4 linked regions of the Nothobranchius furzeri genome follow. The protein of the gene in region 1 purifies or fractionates together with the protein of each later gene. This does not show direct contact. Links are inferred from orthologs where the notes say so. Each region holds a gene or a part of one and is shown on either strand. Other genes may lie near its edges.

The links. The genes of interacting proteins can lie anywhere in the genome.
Region 2: the proteins of eif3f (region 1) and eukaryotic translation initiation factor 4B purify together in Homo sapiens (affinity purification with mass spectrometry; 3 studies listed by BioGRID). This does not show direct contact. The link is inferred for Nothobranchius furzeri from reciprocal best matches to the Homo sapiens genes EIF3F and EIF4B.
Region 3: the proteins of eif3f (region 1) and casein kinase II subunit alpha' purify together in Homo sapiens (affinity purification with mass spectrometry; 3 studies listed by BioGRID and IntAct, with this or other methods). This does not show direct contact. The link is inferred for Nothobranchius furzeri from reciprocal best matches to the Homo sapiens genes EIF3F and CSNK2A2.
Region 4: the proteins of eif3f (region 1) and eif3ba purify together in Homo sapiens (affinity purification with mass spectrometry; 14 studies listed by BioGRID and IntAct, counting the BioPlex papers as one, with this or other methods). This does not show direct contact. The link is inferred for Nothobranchius furzeri from reciprocal best matches to the Homo sapiens genes EIF3F and EIF3B.

Annotation. Positions count from the first base shown.
Region 1 is NC_091751.1:40,239,423-40,244,766, reverse strand, and holds the start of eif3f (eukaryotic translation initiation factor 3 subunit F), read right to left. Parts: upstream 3,514-5,344; 5' UTR 3,468-3,513; coding exon 3,356-3,467; intron 3,142-3,355; coding exon 3,071-3,141; intron 1-3,070. UniProt on the Homo sapiens protein: Component of the eukaryotic translation initiation factor 3 (eIF-3) complex, which is required for several steps in the initiation of protein synthesis.
Region 2 is NC_091743.1:53,295,593-53,301,081, forward strand, and holds the start of eukaryotic translation initiation factor 4B, read right to left. Parts: upstream 3,697-5,489; 5' UTR 3,622-3,696; coding exon 3,609-3,621; intron 1-3,608. UniProt on the Homo sapiens protein: Required for the binding of mRNA to ribosomes. Functions in close association with EIF4-F and EIF4-A. Binds near the 5'-terminal cap of mRNA in presence of EIF-4F and ATP.
Region 3 is NC_091749.1:31,587,497-31,592,672, forward strand, and holds the start of casein kinase II subunit alpha', read right to left. Parts: upstream 3,697-5,176; 5' UTR 3,371-3,696; intron 1,818-3,370; 5' UTR 1,716-1,817; exon of another isoform or gene 1,611-1,715; 5' UTR 1,548-1,610; coding exon 1,441-1,547; intron 1,360-1,440; coding exon 1,248-1,359; intron 1,061-1,247; coding exon 959-1,060; intron 831-958; coding exon 780-830; intron 622-779; coding exon 562-621; intron 1-561.
Region 4 is NC_091744.1:16,238,769-16,244,024, forward strand, and holds the start of eif3ba (eukaryotic translation initiation factor 3 subunit B), read right to left. Parts: upstream 3,697-5,256; 5' UTR 3,568-3,696; coding exon 3,468-3,567; intron 2,396-3,467; coding exon 2,203-2,395; intron 2,112-2,202; coding exon 1,992-2,111; intron 1,905-1,991; coding exon 1,847-1,904; intron 1,775-1,846; coding exon 1,646-1,774; intron 1,570-1,645; coding exon 1,412-1,569; intron 1-1,411. Other genes in the region: brat1 (BRCA1-associated ATM activator 1), read left to right, coding at 4,034-4,160, 4,682-4,833.

The DNA.
Region 1 (5,344 bases):
GTAGTGGTGATGATGCTGATGGTACAAGTGGAAATAATGATGAGGGCAGCACAGGTCATATTATTATTTAATGACAATATCGGTTGTGATACACCCACGTTATCTTATGACACTATCAACACTACATGTAGGGATTTAGGACAGTTGTTTGCAGCTTGAGTTTGTCATTTGTTGGAAGCCTTTGCATTATTGCTACTGCTCATGTCAATATTACCATGTTATTACATTTTCAATACTGCAACATCAATAATCATCTACACCGTACAGGGGTCCTCAGTTATAACGGTCCGAGGGCTACTCACAAAAAAGACCCAGAAGCAAGAGGGCCGGATTTTTGGGGGGGGGGGGGGGGGGGGGGGGGGCTGCTGTTTGGATCGCTGGCTGTGATGCACATAACACACAAGCTTGCAACATAAAGAAGTACCTTTCTCAGCGGCCTAGAGGTAGAGTGTCCGCCCTGAGACTGGGAGATCAGGGTTTGATTCCTGGCCGGGTCATACCAAAGACTTAGAAAAAATGGGACCCAATGCCTCCCTGCTTGACACTCAGCATTAAGGGGTTGGATTGGGGGGTTGAACCACCAAATAGTTCCCGAGCGCGGCTGTGTCTGCAGTTCACTGCTCCCCCAGGGGATGGGTCAAATGCGGAGAACAAATTTCGCACACACACCTGTGTGTGTGACAACTAATGGGACTTTAACTTTAAGAACACCTGTCCCTCTCCAGCTCAGCTGTGTGACTGCACTAACCTGTCCTGTGGGACCCTCACCATGTAACCCTCATGTCCATGCCGTCTCTGGAGGAGCAGATCATACAAGATCTCCCGTAACTTAAAATGAACCAAAGCCTCCTCCCAGTTTCTCTTTAAGCTGAATTTAACATCAGTTTATCATCATTAAACAAAAGAATAAAGTGGAACAATAACTTCTATCTTCTATTTCTCTCTCCTTTTAACTTCTCCGTGTCCCTAAATAAAAGAGACAGATGATCACGCTGCAGCCGCCGTCACTCACCCCGCTCCCTCCCCAAGGCCAGATCTCTCGACATCACAACACTGACTGAGCGCTTCGAAGAGAAATAATAATGAAATTATGAAAATAATAATGCGTGTTTGGAGGAGTGTCCTCCGACCCCCTCATCTCAGTCGCCGATTGAGCGAGCAGAGTGCGCCGTGCGACAACCCGCTCAATTAACATAATTCACGGCCCAAATCCAACAGAACCAATTGGGCTGATTCGGTTCGGTCTCAGGTTACAACTCCAGCACTCAGCCCTGCAGTACCACATAAAGGCGGACCAAAGTTTCCTACCCGGTAAATGTGGAGAACACCCACTTTGACAGATTTGGATGCTGGTGCCGCCGTTAAAATAACAAAACCACATTCCACTATAATTGATTAAGGTACTCTTCTATGACGCAGAAATAGTTTATGCCCGCATCTCATGCATTGATTATGAGTATTTTCCTCAGCTCTATCTATGCTACACCTCCCGGTCGGCCATCGCGGGTGGGGGTTTGGGGGCCACAAAGAGAGGGCTCGCCGGCCGGACGTGGCCCGCGGGCCGCCATTTGCGGACCACTGATCTACACACATGGTGATATTACCTCCTTATCTGGATCACCTACGTATGTAAACATCCCACCAGTTAACTAAATATATTCTAATGTTACTTTTATATCAGATACACTAGCCCACATCAAAACAATAAAATATGCAGTAACATTTATGCATATTTATTACTAGATGGCTGTATATCACTTTATACCAAAATGGGCAACATTTATTCTGAAGAATTTTTCCCACAACCTTGAATGTGTGTAAATTGACAGAAAATACTTTAATGTTTTTATGCATTCATTGAGAAGATAAGGTGTTTTTCACCGTTCTTAAAACAGTTGAAATAAAGATTATTCTCAAAACTAAAAACTTATGTACACTTGACATTTCATGGGAATAATGCAAATACTCATACAGATAAAGATCATTCTTTCAGCATTTCCAGAAGTTTGAAAAACACCTTGTGTCACTTAGTTATTACAGTAATTTCTACTAAAACCTAACATTTAAACTAGGTAATTTGTTTATGTTTATGTATTTAGCAGACACTTTTGTCCAAAGCGACTTACAAGTTATAATCGGCATGTTGCCCTTGAGGCTAACAACAACAAACAATTTTCAGTCAGTCGTAGGTGGCAGTGAGGCTGCATGATGAATCACGGAGAGGAGGGAACACGGAGTGGACAGGAGAGAGGAGGACGGGTGCAGGGAAGGTGCTAGTTTAGAAGATGCTCTCTGAAGAGCAGGGTCTTCAGGAGTTTCTTGAAAGTTGAAAAAGAAGCCCGTTCTTGTAGTGCTTGGTAGGCGAGTGTGCTCTTTTTGGCTGATTGAAGACCAGATGTGCCGTTGCGTTCTAGACCATTTGAAGAGGTCTCACAGTACAGACTGGAAGACCAGTTAGAAGGGCATTGCAGTAATCGAGGTGGGAGATGACAGTAGATTGCACCAGGAGCTGGGTGGCATGTTGTGTTAGGTATGGTCTGATCTTTCTTATGTTATACAGCGCCAAGCGGCATGAACGAGCAACAGAGGTAACATGATCTTTAAAGGTCAGGTGTTCATCAATCTCAACACCCAGATTTCGAACTGCCTTTGAAGGAGCCAGAGATAGGAAGTCATTTTGGATTGAGATATTGTGCTGTATGGATGGTTTTGCTGGGATGACAAGTAGTTCAGTTTTAGAGAGGTTCAGTTGGAGATGGTGGGATTACATTATTATGCACTGCTACTACTTGCCCACTTAATCAGCTTCAAGTAAAAATATAAATCTTTAACCATTTTAATTTTGGCTGTCAAGTTATTTTACCGAATATGAGCTGTAAACGATAAACAATGAATGTGGTAGTATCAACAATCCATTATTTGGCTCAACTCCTGTAACACACTTCCGTTTTTCTGTTACAATCCCAGTGATCGATGCAAACTGCCAGCTAGCAGCAGAAATACAGGGTCCCAATGCAGCCTGTGACAATCAAGACTAGAATACAATGAATTCGTGCTTTTTGTAGCTCACCTCATCTTCGGACTCGTTGTGAGGGACAGAGAAGCAGTTGGTCACCTCAATAGAGTGCTTGTCAATAGTACCTAGAACACACCAGATAGAAATGAGTGTCTCGTTGGGTTTCCTGGTGAATCAGCATTTACGTTCAGCTCCAGCGGTTACCAGATGCGGTTTGATTCAACACTGAACCGAGCCAACGTGCGCTAGCAGATTAGCTGAGGAGTTAGCTATAGCATTTTAGCTAGGAAAATTAAGTCTCCTCCCCCGGCTGGACAGATATTTCAGGTTTCTGCTTACCCAAGAGAGTTCCGATCACTCGACTTGCCCCCTCATTCCGACGCTCGTAAGAGTCAGAGATAGAAGCAAGAACGACGGGATGAATTTTCACCACTGGCCCGAACACCGACATCTTGGAGAAAGAGGACGTACCACCGTCCACAGCGACAACATACACCGCCACCTAGAGGCGGGCGGGCAAACTGCAGCTATTGAATCCTACGCTAATAAACAACTCGTCAACAGTGACGACCCAACAGGTAAACACCTGTTTCTGAAAGCAAATAGAACATACTCTTTTTGATTTTTCATGGTTTAGGGCGTAACTTGTATAGTTTTGCAACAATAAACGCACACAAAACAACAAATGCAACTGTTTATTTAATTAAAGCTAAATGTCACACATTTATGATTAAATGCAAAAACTGCAGTTGCTGTGGGGTCAGCAGGTGGGTGGAGGAAGACCGTCCCCCTTCTGTTGTAGAGATGAGATGAGCCTGAGCGAGGAAGGGTTACAGGGGCTGGACTGATGATGACAGCGTCCTCCGCCGCTCAGAGGCTGCACACCTGCCGACTCCATGAGACGCACAGATGAGATGATGGAGCTTTTCGCGCTGCCGGCTCATCCTGTTGCCACCATTTCGCACATCCTGGCACATGTTTTACAGACGCCTCTGCGCAGTCGTTGAAGTTAAAATGTGTGTTTTCTCACCGGATGACGTTTTTATTTACTGCGATTATTGAGCGATCGTTTTCGAGGCGCTTTCTTCCCCTTCTCCGGGTCGGTTTCCCGGACCGGCTCGCTGGTAGCTATAAAGAGCAGAAATGGGAGTCACCGAATCAAGGTTGCCAGCACCGGTTCGTTCATGGACCAGATGGTTGTTCATAGGATAAAACATCAGCTCGATCAATGCCAGAAGTTTCCACACTGAGCGGGTAGGTTTTTATTCATTCTCTGCTGGTTTTGGCACGAATCCGCTCTCTGGATCGTTTGGTTTCTGTTGCATTGTGGCTGACTCATTGACACTGTCAAGAGGCTATTTCTGATCCATCCATCAGGGGTGATGCGTCATCTTGATCTATCTCTCCTCCTGCATGGACGCACAACATCTAGGTCTGTGGAGGACCTGGACTCCATTTTACTGTGCAAATGATTCAGGAACACCATGCCTCACTGCATGTTTAACTCTGAGTCCTCTATGGGACTTATGTAAGAAATCTCAGCAGGCTCACAGAATAAATCCAACACATTTAACATCAAGTGCATGCTCACACACACACACACACACACACACACACACACACACACACACACACACACACACACACACACACACACACACACACACACACACACACACACACACACACACACACACACACACACAGAGCCCAAAGCTTTTTGTGAAACTAGCATAATTAAAGTGGCTCTAATGTGCAGCTGCTCTCCAGGATTAGGTTGCCTCTCAAAGGAGAGATTTATTCTGTCCTTGTGTTTCATAAAAACACACATTAACTAACAATAAATGAACAACATAATAATTTCTCTTACGCTGTATAATAAATCAAGTTTGTGCTGTGTGTTATTGCAGAAAAGACAATTTTAGTCAACAATTCCATAAACCCTAAAGGCGTGGGAAACTCATTTAAGCAACTGGTAGGAATGAGTGCCTTGCAAGCTTTACTCTGGGCAAAGAAAGCCCAGAAACGCCTGGATCAGCATGGGCAAGTCTGCCTAGAGGAGAGCTCAACATGGCAGGATTTGGGCTCATATTTCATAATATTTGGACATCTGGCCTCAGATTGGATGACAGAACTGTGACTCTACCTCTGACTTTGTTTGCTCTGAGACATGGATGTTTTATCTCCACAAATAACACAAGCCTGGGGGAGCTTCTGCCATATGGTTGATTTGCTAATGCTAACACTAACAGTTAGCTTCTGCAGGCCAAGATGCACTCTGCTAATTCTAGATGCTAAAGCAACAACAGCCTTCCCCGTCCAGAGCCA
Region 2 (5,489 bases), on another chromosome or scaffold:
CCTGAGTTGTTTTTATTTACTGCAAGTCATATTGTCATTGCAATATTGATCACTGTTGTCGCAGGTTTTCCTAATATTGTGCAGCCCTAATGAAAGGTTTATGGGTACACATTTAAACGTCTATTTTACGTTTCAATCTGTCTTTATTGTAAACATACGGACAACACAGTTACACCCCTGTAAGGGGTTCATAACTTTGCCCGCCTGTGCTCGCCAGTGTCATTGTAGCCAAGCTGTGACATGCTGTCCAGCTTCAGCAGATAAGAGAGGCTAAAGCGCATGAGTGATAAAAGCACACACTTATATCCAACGGTCACTGGGCTGCCAGTTAGAAGAAAGCTGTGAGGCCTTTTTAAAATAGTCAAACTTCTTAAAGAGCCTAAATAAATAATAATATATTCCAAATTTCTGAAACCTCTCACTTGGTTTAAAGACAGCAGGAGCTCATGTCTTTACGACTAGATAAAGAAATTAATTAAGCAATAAAATAAAGAATTAATAATCATAACCAACTGGAAGGAAATCATTTGTCTACATTCACAAGGCGGTGACGTTTCTTTCCCACAACGAAACATTCCAGATTGTGTGCAGCCAGCAACAGCTGCCCAGGGGGCTTCACTCTGCTCTGGAAACAGGTTAGATTTGTTTTAATCCCAACTGTCAGTGAACTACTCATACATGAAATTACATTATCACTAGGGCTGTACAATATATCGTAAATATATCGTTATCGTGATATCAGCATACACAATATGCATATAGCAAAGAACAGATAAATATTGCATTGAATGTTCAGCTCAAATGTTTGCTACACATAATGCATTCTGTCAATCAAATGAAAGCATTATGTTTTTTAACAAATCAAATAGAGCTCTTCACCCATTTGGCCAATTGGGTGGGTTCTCATAGGTCAGATGCCCGCCCCCGAGGCGGGCGGCACTTCATTTTGATGGTTAGCATACACCTGAGTTAGCTTTGGTCTGTTCTTTTCGCTGATTCTGCTTTTCCCGGGAGCCACTGATTGCCTTTTCTTGTTCATTCCCTTTTTCCCTTCCTTCACATCTTTAGCTTTTCTCATTTTTATAAATTTTTTATTTCTTTGTTTTTGATTAATTTTGTTCCTGAGTTAAGTTTTTATTTATCGTAAGTAATATCGTCATCGCAATATTAATCATTATTATCGAATATCGCAGGTTTTCCTAATATCGTGCAGCCCTAATAATCACACATGGTAACAGTGAAGGTAAGTTTCACACTCTAAAATATTTGCAAAAAAGTGATGATAAAAAAAGCATATGCCCACTTTAACGGCTGGTACTCTTGTAATAACCCACCATGCAGCCTGCTCTTTGATCTGCACTAATCTGATTCTACGGAGCTGGATTAGGACTAATTTTCCCTTTCTGTAAAAGCTAAAATATCAAAATGCACTTAAATTTGTTTTGGATCAGTTATCCTACAAGGAGCCTAAATCACACCCATCTACTTCCGGACCATGGGTCCCCGGAAGAACGAAAAAATGAATGCAAGTCAATGAAGCTAAAAGACTATTTTCTAATTCCGCTTGTTTTGTGCCATGGATTTCACATATGATGTCTGTGAATTTTAAAGACACATTTTGATAACAATGACACGCTTATTTTCGAACAGGGGGAAACACTGTTTTAGATTTTGTGTGAAAATAAGTCCAGGACTATAAATGCGCTTCACGAAAGTGACATCAAACCAGACATGGAGAAAACTGAGGGAAAAGAGCATTAATACAGCAAACTTCCCACAGGAGGAAAGAACAACCACAAATCTGGTCATTTGGTAAGTAGCAGCTACTTTGGGGAGAGGAGATTCACATATGCGACGTGCCGATTTCTCGTTTATAGTCATGCTAATTACAAACGTTTACAAGCTAATAAATCTCAAAGTATGTGACTGGTGTAGTCATAACACCCATCATTACTTTTTATTTAAATTGCAGTACAACATGTGTGATCCAGGGACTACGGCAGACTTGGGCTCCCTATATCGAGCATTGGAAGTTAAATCAGAAATTACCTACTTATTAACTCAGATACGTTTTTATTTAATTTTTTGTGGAAAGTGTGTGTCTATTAACATAATTCCCTAGCACAGCAAAAAAAAAGATTAAATAAATTAAAAAAAAAAACATACTACACTCCTGGTTTGTTAACTCACCACTGCTAAGTACTAGTTCAAGCTAGCAATAACAGACATGTGGACCAGGATCATAATTTTCAAACTTAATCAGAAAAGATAAATTGCATTATGTTAACCATTGTTCAGTAGCAGGTCAGAAGAGCACGAGTCAAATATCAGATCTAAAAAACACCCAAATAGTGCATCTGTATTCATATGGGAAAACTGTGGTTATGTTGACTAGTTTCTGAAACGTAAACGTTTTCAGACATGTTTTCTATTTCTAGCCGATTTTGGTTTTTTCAAATAATACATCTAGACAGACTTCTAAAATATAGTTGACACCTCTGTTCCTAATGAGTTTATTGCCTTAAAATATCACAGGAGTCAACCTGGTCGGTCACATGATCAACGCCTGTCAATGAACCCTGTAGAGGTGTAGTAACCTGTATGCCTGTGAGGTTTCTCAGCCTTAAAAATGTCATAATGTCCATTTTAATGATATCTTGTTAGTCTGAGAAAACACTTTTCAGTATATTTTAAAATTTTCACTAAAGAGTAAACACGAATGCTTTTCCGTTATGTTATTTTTTCCACATTCATCGAGATCTGCGAAACATAAAAAGCAAGAGCACTTCTCCGGACTCTTTAAGGCTGCGTTTGAAGCCTGAGGGCTCGCAGTTAGCAGGCTTGATGATCGCTTTTGTCTCAATGTCTTTGCTGGCTTAGTCAGCGGAGGACTGCTGACGGGGGAAGTCTCTGCTCTTTAGCTGGCTACGTTTAGGGCCTAGCGCACGTCGCAGCGTCAGGATCCAAGTGCGCCATCAACGCTGCAATACTTAGCCGGCCGGAAAAGCCAGCTCAAAGTTGGGAAGCTGACAGCGAAGAGTTTAGGATGCGACCCCACAGGCCCAGCTGCCCCGCTTAATCAAACGCAGACACCGGAGAGCATCTCCGCACACGTGGGGACTCTTCAGGCGGCTCCGGATCCCTCTCGGCCCAACCCCTCCTCCACAAATCGCGCTTGCGCCCGATGCCTGTTTGCCCTGAGCGCCACGGCGTAGCTCCACCGCTGACTTAAAATGTGCCAGCAGCCATTCACGCAGTTGGGAACATTGAGCCGCAGGTCGACCAGCACCTCGTACACCTTTTACCAAAATAAGCAGGGAAGCAGACGCACCACACACCGACATAACGTTAGTTCCATAAGCAAGTTAGTTTGATTAGGTTAGCTTAAAAACGCTCGTTGCTTCGTTCATTCCGCCTTCCACCACCAGCTTCGCCGTTTTAGCGGGCAAAAACAATCAATAAATGACGAACAGGCGCGAGACAACGACACAGACTCGAAAGGGGGCGAACCGGTATTCCTCACATTTATTATTCTAAGCTGTCCGAAACCATAAACGAGAGAAATTCCCAATAATCGACTCAGATCGATCACTCTACATAAACCTCACCTGACGCCGCCATGTTGGAGAACGAGTTCGTTGAGGTTCCCGGATGAAGGCGTCAGAGGTTTTATGATCGGGAGCGCGCAATGGCCGTTCACGTGCCTGCGCGCGCCTCCACCCTTGTTTACTTCCTGACCTGACCCACATCTGCAAACAAATTTTTAACCCTCTTGTAGATAATTTAATAATATGGCAGAATGCCTTGCTTTATTACTAGCTATCCTCTTGACAAACTCCCAGTTTGTATATACACATATTATTTGCCCTTCATGTTATCTTACTGATATCTCCTATTCTTTCATTTTCTGTTCATACTTCATTGTTTTTCATTTCTGAATTGATAAACCCAGGATTGCCAGAACATGGACTTTTGAGCTCCTTTATAACATGTTATTTTCTCACATGTTTTGAAATGAAGTTGTATCTAAATATGTTCAATAAAGTTATTACAATAAATAAATAAAATACCCACATCTGCTGATGCTTCCTGGTGTTTCTGCCACCAGCCACGATGTGTTTCACTTTTATAAAAACGATCAGAGAGTTTTACCAAAGTGTTGCTAAGTGTTTAATCACAAGCCCAGAAATAACAGTTTTACAGCAATAAGTAAAAACGTTATCATAATGTTCACTTTGGGGATTTTATTCAAAAAATAAATGTATGATTGTAGTCATATTGCAGTCCATGGACGTAGTTTTGACTTTAGAAGTGTGTGTGTGGGGGGGGGGGGGGGGGGCACAACTGGCATGAGTTCTGGTGGGGTCTTTACAGTAAGTATGCAAAAAATATATATAAAAAACTACAACCTAGAGGCTCCTTTATGCAGAGATGCAGAACTGTCAAGTACACAGGTGGCAGGAACGGCCAATCACTCGTTAGCAAGTATCAGTAGAGCCAATAGATGTGCTTGTGGACAGTTCTAATGGGAAGGGGCTTCAACACAAGCGGCTGTTTTCCGCTCGGACTTAGAGCTCAACTAGTGTCTATTTAATATGGTGTAATATTGTTTATTGGACGGTAAAACGTGCAGGGGACAAAAACTTGCTTTGGAAAAAGTGAGGGAGACATGTCCTCTTTGGCCCCCCCAATAAAACTTCGCCCATGTAGTCTCAAAACCTTACCTGATATAAGAAATAATGCAACATTAATGTCCTCCATACCTTATTTAAACTGACCTATTAGAGTGAAGTATAATCATCATTTAACAAGCAAAATACGATAAATTACATTGCAAATTAAACAGAATTAAATCATTTTCTGAGAATATATGCAATATTAATTCCAGCTGTTATGAATGAGGTAACAGCAAGGACTCATTTTGGGCTGTGGGTTTTATTGTGAAATTAAAAAAAAAAGTTCAGCATTATTTATGCTGTTGTGTTTTCTAATATCTTAATATATAAAAAAGTTTTCTGATGGGGCTGCATCCCATTTGTCTGTGATGGAAATCACAAAATTGCTCAGAAAATGTTTAAAATATTAAAATGACAATGAAAGGTATTTCCCCCCATTTAACCAAAACTGAAATATCTATAAATACCTGCTAAATTAGCAGGACCAAAACCCAGCAGATGGACTAGGTGAAAGCTGAAGATTTGTCAGTCATCATCACAGAGTTCAAAGTCAACACCTGATGGTGAGAGGGGATCAGTAATCCATATTAAAGCAGCATCTGCGGCTGACACCTGTTATTCAGGGAGGTTTTTGAGCATTTCAGCATGGATCATAGAAGGAGGAGTCCAGATGCTGCACATCCTCTCATCCTCCCTACGATTGTTTTGGGGTTTAAGGCAACACTCTGAATCTGAAAAACTGAAAATTCTGCCACAACAAGACATACAGACATACAAGACATAGTGAATTACTAAGGATCAGAAAAAACAGAT
Region 3 (5,176 bases), on another chromosome or scaffold:
TCATTGTCTGATGATGTTTCCTACTGCCTACTGCTGATGGGCAGCAGGGAGTAGGGACACTTATTGCAGTAACGTGTTTTATACATGTGTTGTGCTTTTTTCAGCATTTTAATCCTCAATGCCAACATTTCCTGTTTTATTCAGTGACTGTGGCTCAGAGTGACTCATACGGGGCTCATCATCTGAAGCCGTTTCCCTACGAGGGCTCAATGTACCCTGAGCAGTTGATGGTTCCATGTCAGAGCTCTGGAGTAGGTTCTGGATGGCTCAGGTCTTAGCTAGAAAATAAAGTTGCTGAATCAAACCCCCACCCACGAACTTCCAGACTGCTTTCCTGACTAGCTTAGCCTAGCCCACAATCGTAAGCCAGAGTGTGTGCGTGCGTGCGTTTGTGTGTGTGTGTGTGTCACAGAGACTTTCAGCATCTGAGACTTTTCCTTCTCCATTTGTGACTAGAATGTTTGCACTCTAGAGCCCTGAAACATCCCTCACAACAACGCTCTACTACTTTTTCTGCTGTCTCATCTATTTCACCGTGACAAAGGCTTAGAAAACTCTCACCTTAAGGAGCTCGTACATGTAGTAACGGATATCGCAGTCGGTCAGTTTCTGGTAGAGCTCCTGCGGACCAAATGAAAGATTCGTACATGAAACATTTAGAAGGAACTGCTGCGATATGGTGTCAGAGGTTTCTACTTTAAGACTGTAAGGTTATGCAGCTGATTATTAATGGAAATAGATGCATGAATGGTAGTTCGGTGTCAGCCAAACTCAAGTACCTTAAAATCTGTGTTATTGATGTACTCAAAGACAAGTGCTGGTGTTCTGGACTGCAAAGAGAGGACAACACACGGCTTCACTGACAACAGTAGCAGGTACGTGCGGATCATTAGCATGACCGGATTAACGCGGCTGACACGCCGACATGCAAAACAGCCACAGCGTGTTTCAGACTCACCACTGGGTCTTTGACGTTGTCAATCAGGCGGATGATGTTGGTTCCACCTCGCAGGTTTTCAAGAATTTTTATTTCCCGTTTGATCTTCTTCTTCTTGACGGGCTGAGGATGAAAGGAGGTACAAAGATCCACTCAAAAAAGCTACATACAAGGAAAAATAAAGTCTAAGCACTTTGTCCGTGACCTCAGAACATGAAAATGGATTACTCAGACAATTGTGTAAGACAAATAAACCTACATACATGACATTTGTTACAGGATGGACTGCTGGGAAGTCAAGACATCTCACCTTGAGGATTTTCACCACAACTTTCTCATTGTTTGTTACATTTATGGCCTCAAATACTTCACTGTACTTCCCTCTGCCCAGTTTGCGCACCAGCTGGTAGTTGTCTTGGTTGCTGAAAAGAGAAAAATATTTTAAGTGTGAATAAAAAGCTGTTTGATTATGCTGATGGTAACTGTAGTAAGATATTCTGTACCTCCAGTTTGGCATGTGTGCGTCATAGTCCCAATACTCTCTGTTCTTCTGTGTGTTGACATCGGTGTACACCCGAGCCTTGCTGCTGGCCGGCGAGGATCCGGGCATCGCGAGCTTCGACGCTCCGTGTCGGGAAACTCCCCCTTCCTCAGAATACTTGTTGTCGCGATACTGGAAGGCAGCGCAGCGGCTGTACTGAGTTTGAGGCTCTAAGATCCCTGTGTTGTGTTTACCATTGGCATTGGCTGCTTGTGCTCTCTGGTGAAAAGCACTGACCTGGTCCACAGGGGTGGCTGTGCAGACCGACAAAGCTACAATTATTGACTGAGTGAAGCCCCTGAGACGGATGTTAGACAGGATGGGATGAAGAACCGCCAGCTGTTGGGAAAAAAAGAAAAGAGCAGAAAAACCTGGAAGTTATTTTTTTATTACCGACTTGGCTGTTATCTGCATATAACTGGTATAAAAATGGTCTAAAAACAACAAAAGTATCAAGTGTGCAGCTGCATGCAAATGTGCAAAGTTAGTAAAAATAAATAATCATTAAACAATTAGACAAAATAAGTTACAACTTTGGACTTTTCATTTGCCTTTAGAACAAATTATTGCAGATCAATTCTCAAGAAATTTTTAGAAAAATATTTCTAAAATTTAACAATTTTACATTTAAAATGATCTGTGAAAGCTGTGAATCAACTGCAGCTTATTCAGAATGCTGCTGCTAGAGCCTTAACAAGAACCAAGAGAAGCGAAACACATCACTCCTGTTCCTTAATCTCTTCACTGGTTACCAGTAAACTACAGAATCAATTTCAAAGTGATTCTATTAGTTTAAAAATCACTCAATGGCATGGGGTCAGAATGCATGTCGGACCTCCTTCAGGTACATAAACCCAGCAGGGCTCTGAGATCCTTAGTAAACAGGCAGCTGGTAAAACCCTGGGTCAGAACCAAACAGGGTGACGCTGCTTTTAGCTACAATGCTGCACACAGAATAAATCAGCTTGCTTATGACCTCAAATGTGCCCCAACTCAACTCATGTAACTTTTAAATGAAAATGGAAAACTTTCATGTTTTCATCAGCCTTTGAATGGCTGTTTATATAACACTGCACATTCTGCACTGTAACTGCTTTCTTCTTTCATTTTTAAATCTAAATTGAATTTGTGTGTATTATAATTGTGATGTCGTATTGATTTTAATGTTCTTGTTATTCTTGTTAGTTGGCAAGCACATTGAACCGCCTCTGTGTGTGAAATGTACCAAATAAATAAAACTGCCTTGCCCTGTTCTCTGAAAATCCCTAAAGACTTTGGTTGTGTAGATATGGGCTCAAAAATCCACATTTTTTTCAACTACTATGTACAATAAAATATATAAAAGATGTTTTATTTGATCAGATCGTGTTTCACTTGTTTTGTGATGTTGATCTTTACCTGATCCGTTTCCTATAATTCAACGTTTCTTTCGTAGCCGTTTTAAGTCTATCATAATTTTTTCCGACATATTAAAACTTCCCGTCACCATGTATGTCTTAGCAGTCGTTTGAGCTTATTCACACCTTTCTTAAATCGGTGTATACTTCTCTAAAGTAACGTGTAGCTCTGGAAGTCTGATATATTTGCTGTCTACAGATTCCTCTCCTCTAGGCCCGTTCATGCTCCATCACCGCTATGTTCTGGTTCTGAAGAGCTTCTCCTCTCAAATACACATTTAATTCCCTCAAACGGCTATGAAGGATGTGAACAACGGGCTACTCCACAAGCTAACTAGATGGACCAGTTGTAACTGTCAGGAAGATTAGGTAACATCCTCTGTTAGAAATTCAACTGATGCTAACTAAGCTAACGAGTAACGATTACCTGTTTAGTTTATACAACTTTAAAATACAAACTCTGCCTCAAAAATGTGGAATCACAAAGACATTTACCGTCTGAATTCACATCTTCTTGCATACGAAACACGAATTAACCGCAATAATTATCAGCGTCGTCATTTCGGAGGCTAAAGTTAGCCGGCTAACCTCGTCGTCGGAAGCTGGAGCGCAGAAAACGTCATCAATGGTCGTTGGCTCGCGGGTTAACTTTGATGTCCGCGCGGTGATGTAAGCCCAGCAGGTCCGAGGTGATTGATAATGTGTCTGATTGATTGACTCTGACTGATGGGTGGCGGTGGTGGTGGAGGCACATCCAGCAGTTCTGCGGTAAACATCACCCGGAAGTTAACCGAGACGGAGCTCCTCCATCAGCCAGAAATGTGTGTGTGTGTGTGTGTGTGTGTGTGGGGGGGGGGGGGGGGGGGGGGGGGGGACCAGAAAATAAAATTAATACACGAAATGAATCACCGCACCTGACTAGTGCTCTTCAGTCTGTTTGCACTTACTTTTAAGTTACGGGACATTTAAATATTTTCTTCATAAAGACTGCAATAAATGTCACAATGAAAATGTTTTTATACAATTAATATTCCTAAAATTATTTAAAATACGGGAATCTCGTAACATTATTCAAAAGTTTCATTATTCTATAATTATTTGGTTTTTTCACCATTTTTGTTTCATGGTTTAAAATCTACCATCAAGACTTTTTGGGAGTTTCTGAGTTTTTGAGAACCAGTTGTGTCTGTTTTCTGTGAGGGACAGACTGAGACATTACTCACTATGCCCAGTGATGTGCATACGACGTTATTTAACTTTATATTGTCTCACCGGCTGTTTTTCCTGCATATCAGCTGAAAAACGTTCAAAATAGCTACGTGTTTGTTTCAAAGTAGACAATGTTATCATAAACGAATTTACTATTAAAAGATGATTTCAAGAAGACTAAACGCCAAATCAATATTTGAGGAGACAAGATGGGCACAGAATTTTCCAGTATGTCAACGAATGTATGAATTAAACCATCAAACAATTTTAAAATAATTTTGGAAGTGTGGAGAGCTGGATCGTGTACGACCATCAGAAAAAAGTAAAGTAAAATAAATGTTATAGTTTGAATGTGTAGAAGCTGAATAGTAAAAATAAACTATGCTAAATAGATAAAACAAAATGTTGACTTTATCGTATATCTGCAATTAAACATACATTTGAATTATTTTACTTGCCATTACTAGTATCTTCATTATATTTGGAGTTCTAGAGTTTAACATTTTAGCTATGTCAAAACAAATAATATGTTATGTTACATTAAATTTATATTGGCAAGGTGGATTATCTAATAAATCTAATTTCTACAAATATGGGATTCCAGAGACAATAATGTGATATTTTAACTAAGTCTCCTGCTTTAAATTTGTTTTTATTCATATTTGTTGTGGCCAATAAAAAACAATCAACTTTACTGTTCATCAGCCGAACTGGTTAGATCATGAGCTGGAAAATAATTTTTACATGATACATTTGATGTAACTAGTTTTCAAGTCTAAAATACGACCAAATGAAATCTTATTTTTATCTTTTCCCAAATGAATTTGCAAGATTTTTTTTATTTGAATGTTCTTGATTCATTCATTTTCTTTGCAATATAAAACAAATTAGGGATGTAAGGATACATTGATACACTTAAGTGTCACAATATTTCGTGTTATGATACAGAATCGATCGTTTTAAGCAGTGTATAATTTTTTATTGCGAATTTACACACATTTAATAAATTACTTTTGCCTGTTGCAATTCAACCTCCGACCACTAAGTGGCAGCAGTTTCCATCAGACATTGCAATAATGCTGGCCTGAGTTT
Region 4 (5,256 bases), on another chromosome or scaffold:
TATATCTCGATATTTTTTAGCTGAATTCCGATATACGATATATATCTCGATATTTTTCCTCCTGTAAAATATTTACAAGTTAACTCACTTCAAGCTGTCTTGACAAATTATAAACATAAATCAGTAGATTAAATGCATAAAAATGTACTGATTCTTGTCAAACTCTAACCTTAGTGCCTACTCTCTACCAGTCTGTGCTTTAGAAACACTGGTACAGCTGTCAGTTAACAAACACACACACACACACACACACACTTGAGAGCTGGAGGTGTATCAAATGTCCCACAGGCACTTTTTATTTATATATATTTATAATTAATGTACAATTAGTCATCTAGAGGTGGCCCATATCGTATATTTATTGCCCAGAGAAAAAAAATCTATCATGTTAAACTAGATGTATGATGATGTAATTGCATCTACTGGGTCACGCACAGTGGAGTTATTAGTTATGAGGGCAAACATGGCTGCAATCTAACAGTATTGACTCATATCAGCGATTATACTGTAGTGACTCAGTCTCTGGTTGCTCTTTTATGGGGAGGATTTGCATGCTATTGTCGCTGTAACCCACACCTTACAAACTCTGAACTTTTTCAACTGAATCGCTCGTAATGGAGTATTTACTAGCATAGCTAACCAGAGCGGAAAAAAATCAGAACAAAATTTCTCACCCGCTGAGCTCGCCTTCAAAATAAAACATTAACCCTATAGTTTACTATTCTACCCTTACAATATGTTTGAGGTGATTTGGCCACTCTGGCTACATGTAGATGTTTCCCGATTACACAGGGGAGGGAGGTGTTTGGCTCGTCTCCGCACGAGCAGGATGGATAAACAGAACTCCGTTGGCGTTGAACGTCCCCAAATAATTAAAAACCAGGACGCCAAATGCAAAGTTTAGAACAGCACATTTACCCAGAGGCTCTCAGATTGAGCAATCTTGTGAGAATAGCTGCTTAGAGACAGAGCGACATGTCCCTAGCATAGCGGCTAATCGCTAGCATAGCCGTTTGACCAGTTAAATCGATACAAAAATATTAAGTCATCTTATATCTTGTTTAATAATTATACAGATATTTAAAAAATATTGATGTATCGCCCAGCCCTAGTGTTCACGATCTAAAACATAAGGGAAAAGGTCCGGAACCAGACTGCAGCGCCAGTTATGTCAGCTCAACTTTTTTAAGTCCCAACAGAAGGAATGTTCTGGCGATAGGGTCTGGGTGGCCTTTCATTAAACCTGTAAAGGGTTATTTCAGCACACACTGGCTCAGGAAAATTATTTAAAAATATGAAGAAGCTGCAAAGTGTCCCACAGAAAGGAAAAAAAAAGTTTGGTGGAAAAAAAAAATTCTCATTACAAATATGATCAACTGAGATCAGACTTGGCAGGCTTTGTGCGGATTACCTCTCACACGGTGAGAAGTCGATGAGCGACACACCCTGATGGCTGAACCTCTGGATCTGTTTGAACTTTTCGCCGCCCCACAATGCAATACCCCGCTGATGGAAAGTAGCCAAGTAAGTGCCTTTAGGAGACCAGCGGACGTACGTCTCTGTCCAGCGCTGTATCCAAACACAAAATCGTTAGGTTTTCCTCACATCACATTAACCTGATTGCTGTTAATAATTACCACCTTACCGCTCTCTCCTCATTTATTATTGGCTCTTTAGCGTCATTTGAGAAAATGGCCGTCCTCTCTCCAGCTTCGTAGATCACACTATACTGATCACGACAGTCAGGATCCTCGATCCAGTGACGCATATTCCCCTGAACAGAGAACAAGAGCAAACTGAGGATGGAGCATAAGGACCTCACAAGAAAATAAAGAGTGGAACTCACAAAATCTTTGAAAGGCTGTTTCTCTGGAGCTTCCCACTCGTCACAAATGTTCATGTACCTAAATGTTTCAAAAAAGATGAAATGAACAACTTCAGTCAGGCTTGTGTTAGTTTAACAAATCTATTGGCCTATTCTGCAAACATACTTATCAAAGTCAGTGAAGAGGTTGACCCTGAACGTGTGCTGTTTGTCGAGTTTGTATCCATCTGCATTCTTCACAGCCTCGAGGGCCTGAGTGGGAGCGGCATACTCCAAAAATATGTACCTGCGCAGAAACACAAGTTAGGTTACACGTATTTGGATTTAAGTGTGGAGCCGTGGATAAACAACGCAAGAAAGAGACAGCTAGGTCGTACCCCTTGGTCATGCCATCAGCCTCTGGGTAAAACTCTGTGGTGATTTTGCCGAACTTGGAGAAGATCTTATGTATGACGTTTTTGAGTTTTTCCAAACGTTCTGGGCCCACCTGAGGAACATTGTCCACCACAACCACAGAGTCTATCCCATCCGCTTCCTGGGGCTTTTCCCGCAGGATGTCATCCAGGAGCTCTGCGGACAAAGAAAGATTAGTTAAGTATGTTCTATGAAACTGGCATTTTTACAGATGCAAACTGTCAAAGAATCGATGAGTATTTGATTAACTTATGTGATAAATTAAATATATATATATAATTTATACAGTCAATACTACCTCAAAACAATTAAGCTTAATTTATTCATTTAAAATTAATTATTCTTGAGAAAACGAATAATTGCCTTTCCATTGTTATTATTATTATTTTTTTTTACATGTTTTTACTTTACAATACCCCCATGTTGTGTTTCTGCAAAAGCCCAGACTAAGTTACACGTTTTGTGTAATTAGCAAATACCTGGCTTATAAACTAGGTGCAACTAGATCGCTCTTGGGAAACTTTCACAAGATTTTATTTTACTTTGGAATTTAAACATCTCATCATCTGAAACTTCTTATATTTTGACGACACATTGCTTTTACAAACTCAAGTTAATTACAATTAAATAAATAGCGTCAAAGTTTTGATTAAACAAGTGAAACTTGTGTTTAATGGAGTAAATTAACGATCACTGCTAGTAAATCTTTTACTAATTATAAAGCCGATCTTAAGTCTAAAACCCAAATAAAAGCTACTGTGGCGGGGGGCGGTTTTGTACTGCTACCAAAATTCGCTTAATGAATTTTAGGCACACCTATCTGAGCAGAAACCTTTAATTTTGCGTTTGACTGTGTAGGTAAAGTCAAGCTGCTCATTTGCAATCGCACACACTCTCCATTCAGCTACAGGAGGATTGTTCTCATGCATTCAGGTCCGTCCCTGCACGTTTTCAAATAGGCCACGCTGAGTAAGCTGTCTGGGGTCTAGGTGAGGCTAACGGGCGTAACGTGTAGCAGATAGCATCAGGGTGGGGGGCTGAGACAAAAAAATGTTGCACCACTATTTCGGTTAACGAAGCTATTATGGACTACTAAACATTTTTATCAAGTTCTGGTGGACCACCGCGTAATATTTCTACCATTTGGAGCATAACCGCTATCGGTCTCTTAGCTAATGGTTAGTTAGCACTAGGCCGGATAGCCGGCGTTTTTCCTGCTACCGCTAACCCTCGTCCTCGATGTCATCGTCGAAGTCCTCCGGATCGCTGAAGGAGGGCTCCTCCTCTTCATACTCAGGGTCGTCCACCATGGCCGCCGTGTCTTGCATCTAGCGTTAGAATAAGTCGTAATTCTCTCGACGAGGGATGAAAATCCCAAAAAATGAGAGGCTAACGAGGAGCGACCGGTGCGGCAGCATGTGCGAAAATGGACGAAGAGACGGAAACGCAGCACCGGAAGCTGCTCGCGAGCGCGTAGACGTGCCGCGGAGAAATGAGTTGTAAGGCACAAGGACCGGAAGCGCGCGGCGGTTTACATTGATGTAGCTCACCGAGTTGTTTAGAGATCAGTGAATTAGGCAGCCATATTTGTTCGACTCACTTCACGCTAAAACAGTGGAGCGACGCGCTGGCGGTGATGAATTTTTCCCGCGAGATGTGCTCAACGATCTAACTTTCATTTTGAGCGAAAAATAAAAACATTTTAATGTGTCATTAAGCAGTGCTCGTTTACAGTAATGCAGCGTTGAGCAGAAGGTCAGTGTAACGTTTATTAACACACGTTTAGTCAGTAGCATGGACCGAGAGTGTGTGACAGTCCTGCCGCGGGTGTGTGAGGTGCTAGCAGCCTCAGGAAGCTCTCTGCCCGATGATACCAGTCTGGAGAAACTCCTGGACTGGTTCACAGCGCTCACCAAGGATGGTCAGTAACAACCTGGAGGGCTTGTGCTCCAGTAGTCACTCAATGTATAAATTACTTTCTCCTACTGCTGATTATTCATTGGTTGGCTATTTATTTATTTATTTATTGTGAACTAATTTTAAATAAAGTAAAATGGAGATGTTTAATTTAAAACAGCCTAATGGATGCAAATAAGGCTGGAAGATAACTGGCAAGCACTCCTATTTGTTTTTCTATTAGATTATAGCGAGTTTCTCTATTAAAATTATATTCAGATAGTCCTAATTAATGTTATATGTCAATAATTAATGTCATAAATGACATTAAAAATACCTAAAGTAACATTCTCCCTTGTACAAAGGACACATGTCTAAGTCAGTTGAAATTGCATTTGGTGAAAGTCTGTAGATACGGAACTGGAGAATAGGTATTACCAAACAGATTCTCTTGAAACCTAACTGAATGTGTTGTTTTCAGATCTAGTTTTCCACAGCTAAGTGTCTAAGTGACACCTTTTTGTTTTGTAATGTCACCTGATGAAGGAGTCTCTCTGCTGGAGGCCTTCCCCTGTCTGCTTGATTTCATACCGACCGTAGTTAACAACAGCCCTGCCTCAGATGCCAGCATCCTCTCCTTCACGCTGAAACTCACCGGCCTAATCTCAGCTACTGAGAATGGCTTTAAAGTTCTTCAGGTAAGTCTCGTAACTCCTGTAATCACTATTCAATTCAATTCAAGTTTATTTATATAGCGCCAAATGACGACAAGAGTCGTCTCAAGGCACTTCACATAATAAACCTGGTCAGGTCAGTTCATTAAGCCAATCAGAAATAATTTTTCATACATAAGGAACCCAGCAAATTGCATCAAGTCACTGACTAGTGTTAGTGACTTTACAGCAATCCTCATACTAAGCAAGCATAAAGCGACAGTGGAGAGGAAAACTCCCTTTTAACAGGAAGAAACCTCCAGAGAATCCTGGCTCAGTATAAGCAGCCATCCTCCACGACTCACTGGGGATCGAGAAGACAGAGCAGGCACACACACACACACACACACACACACACACACACACACACACACACACACACACACACACACACACACACACACACAC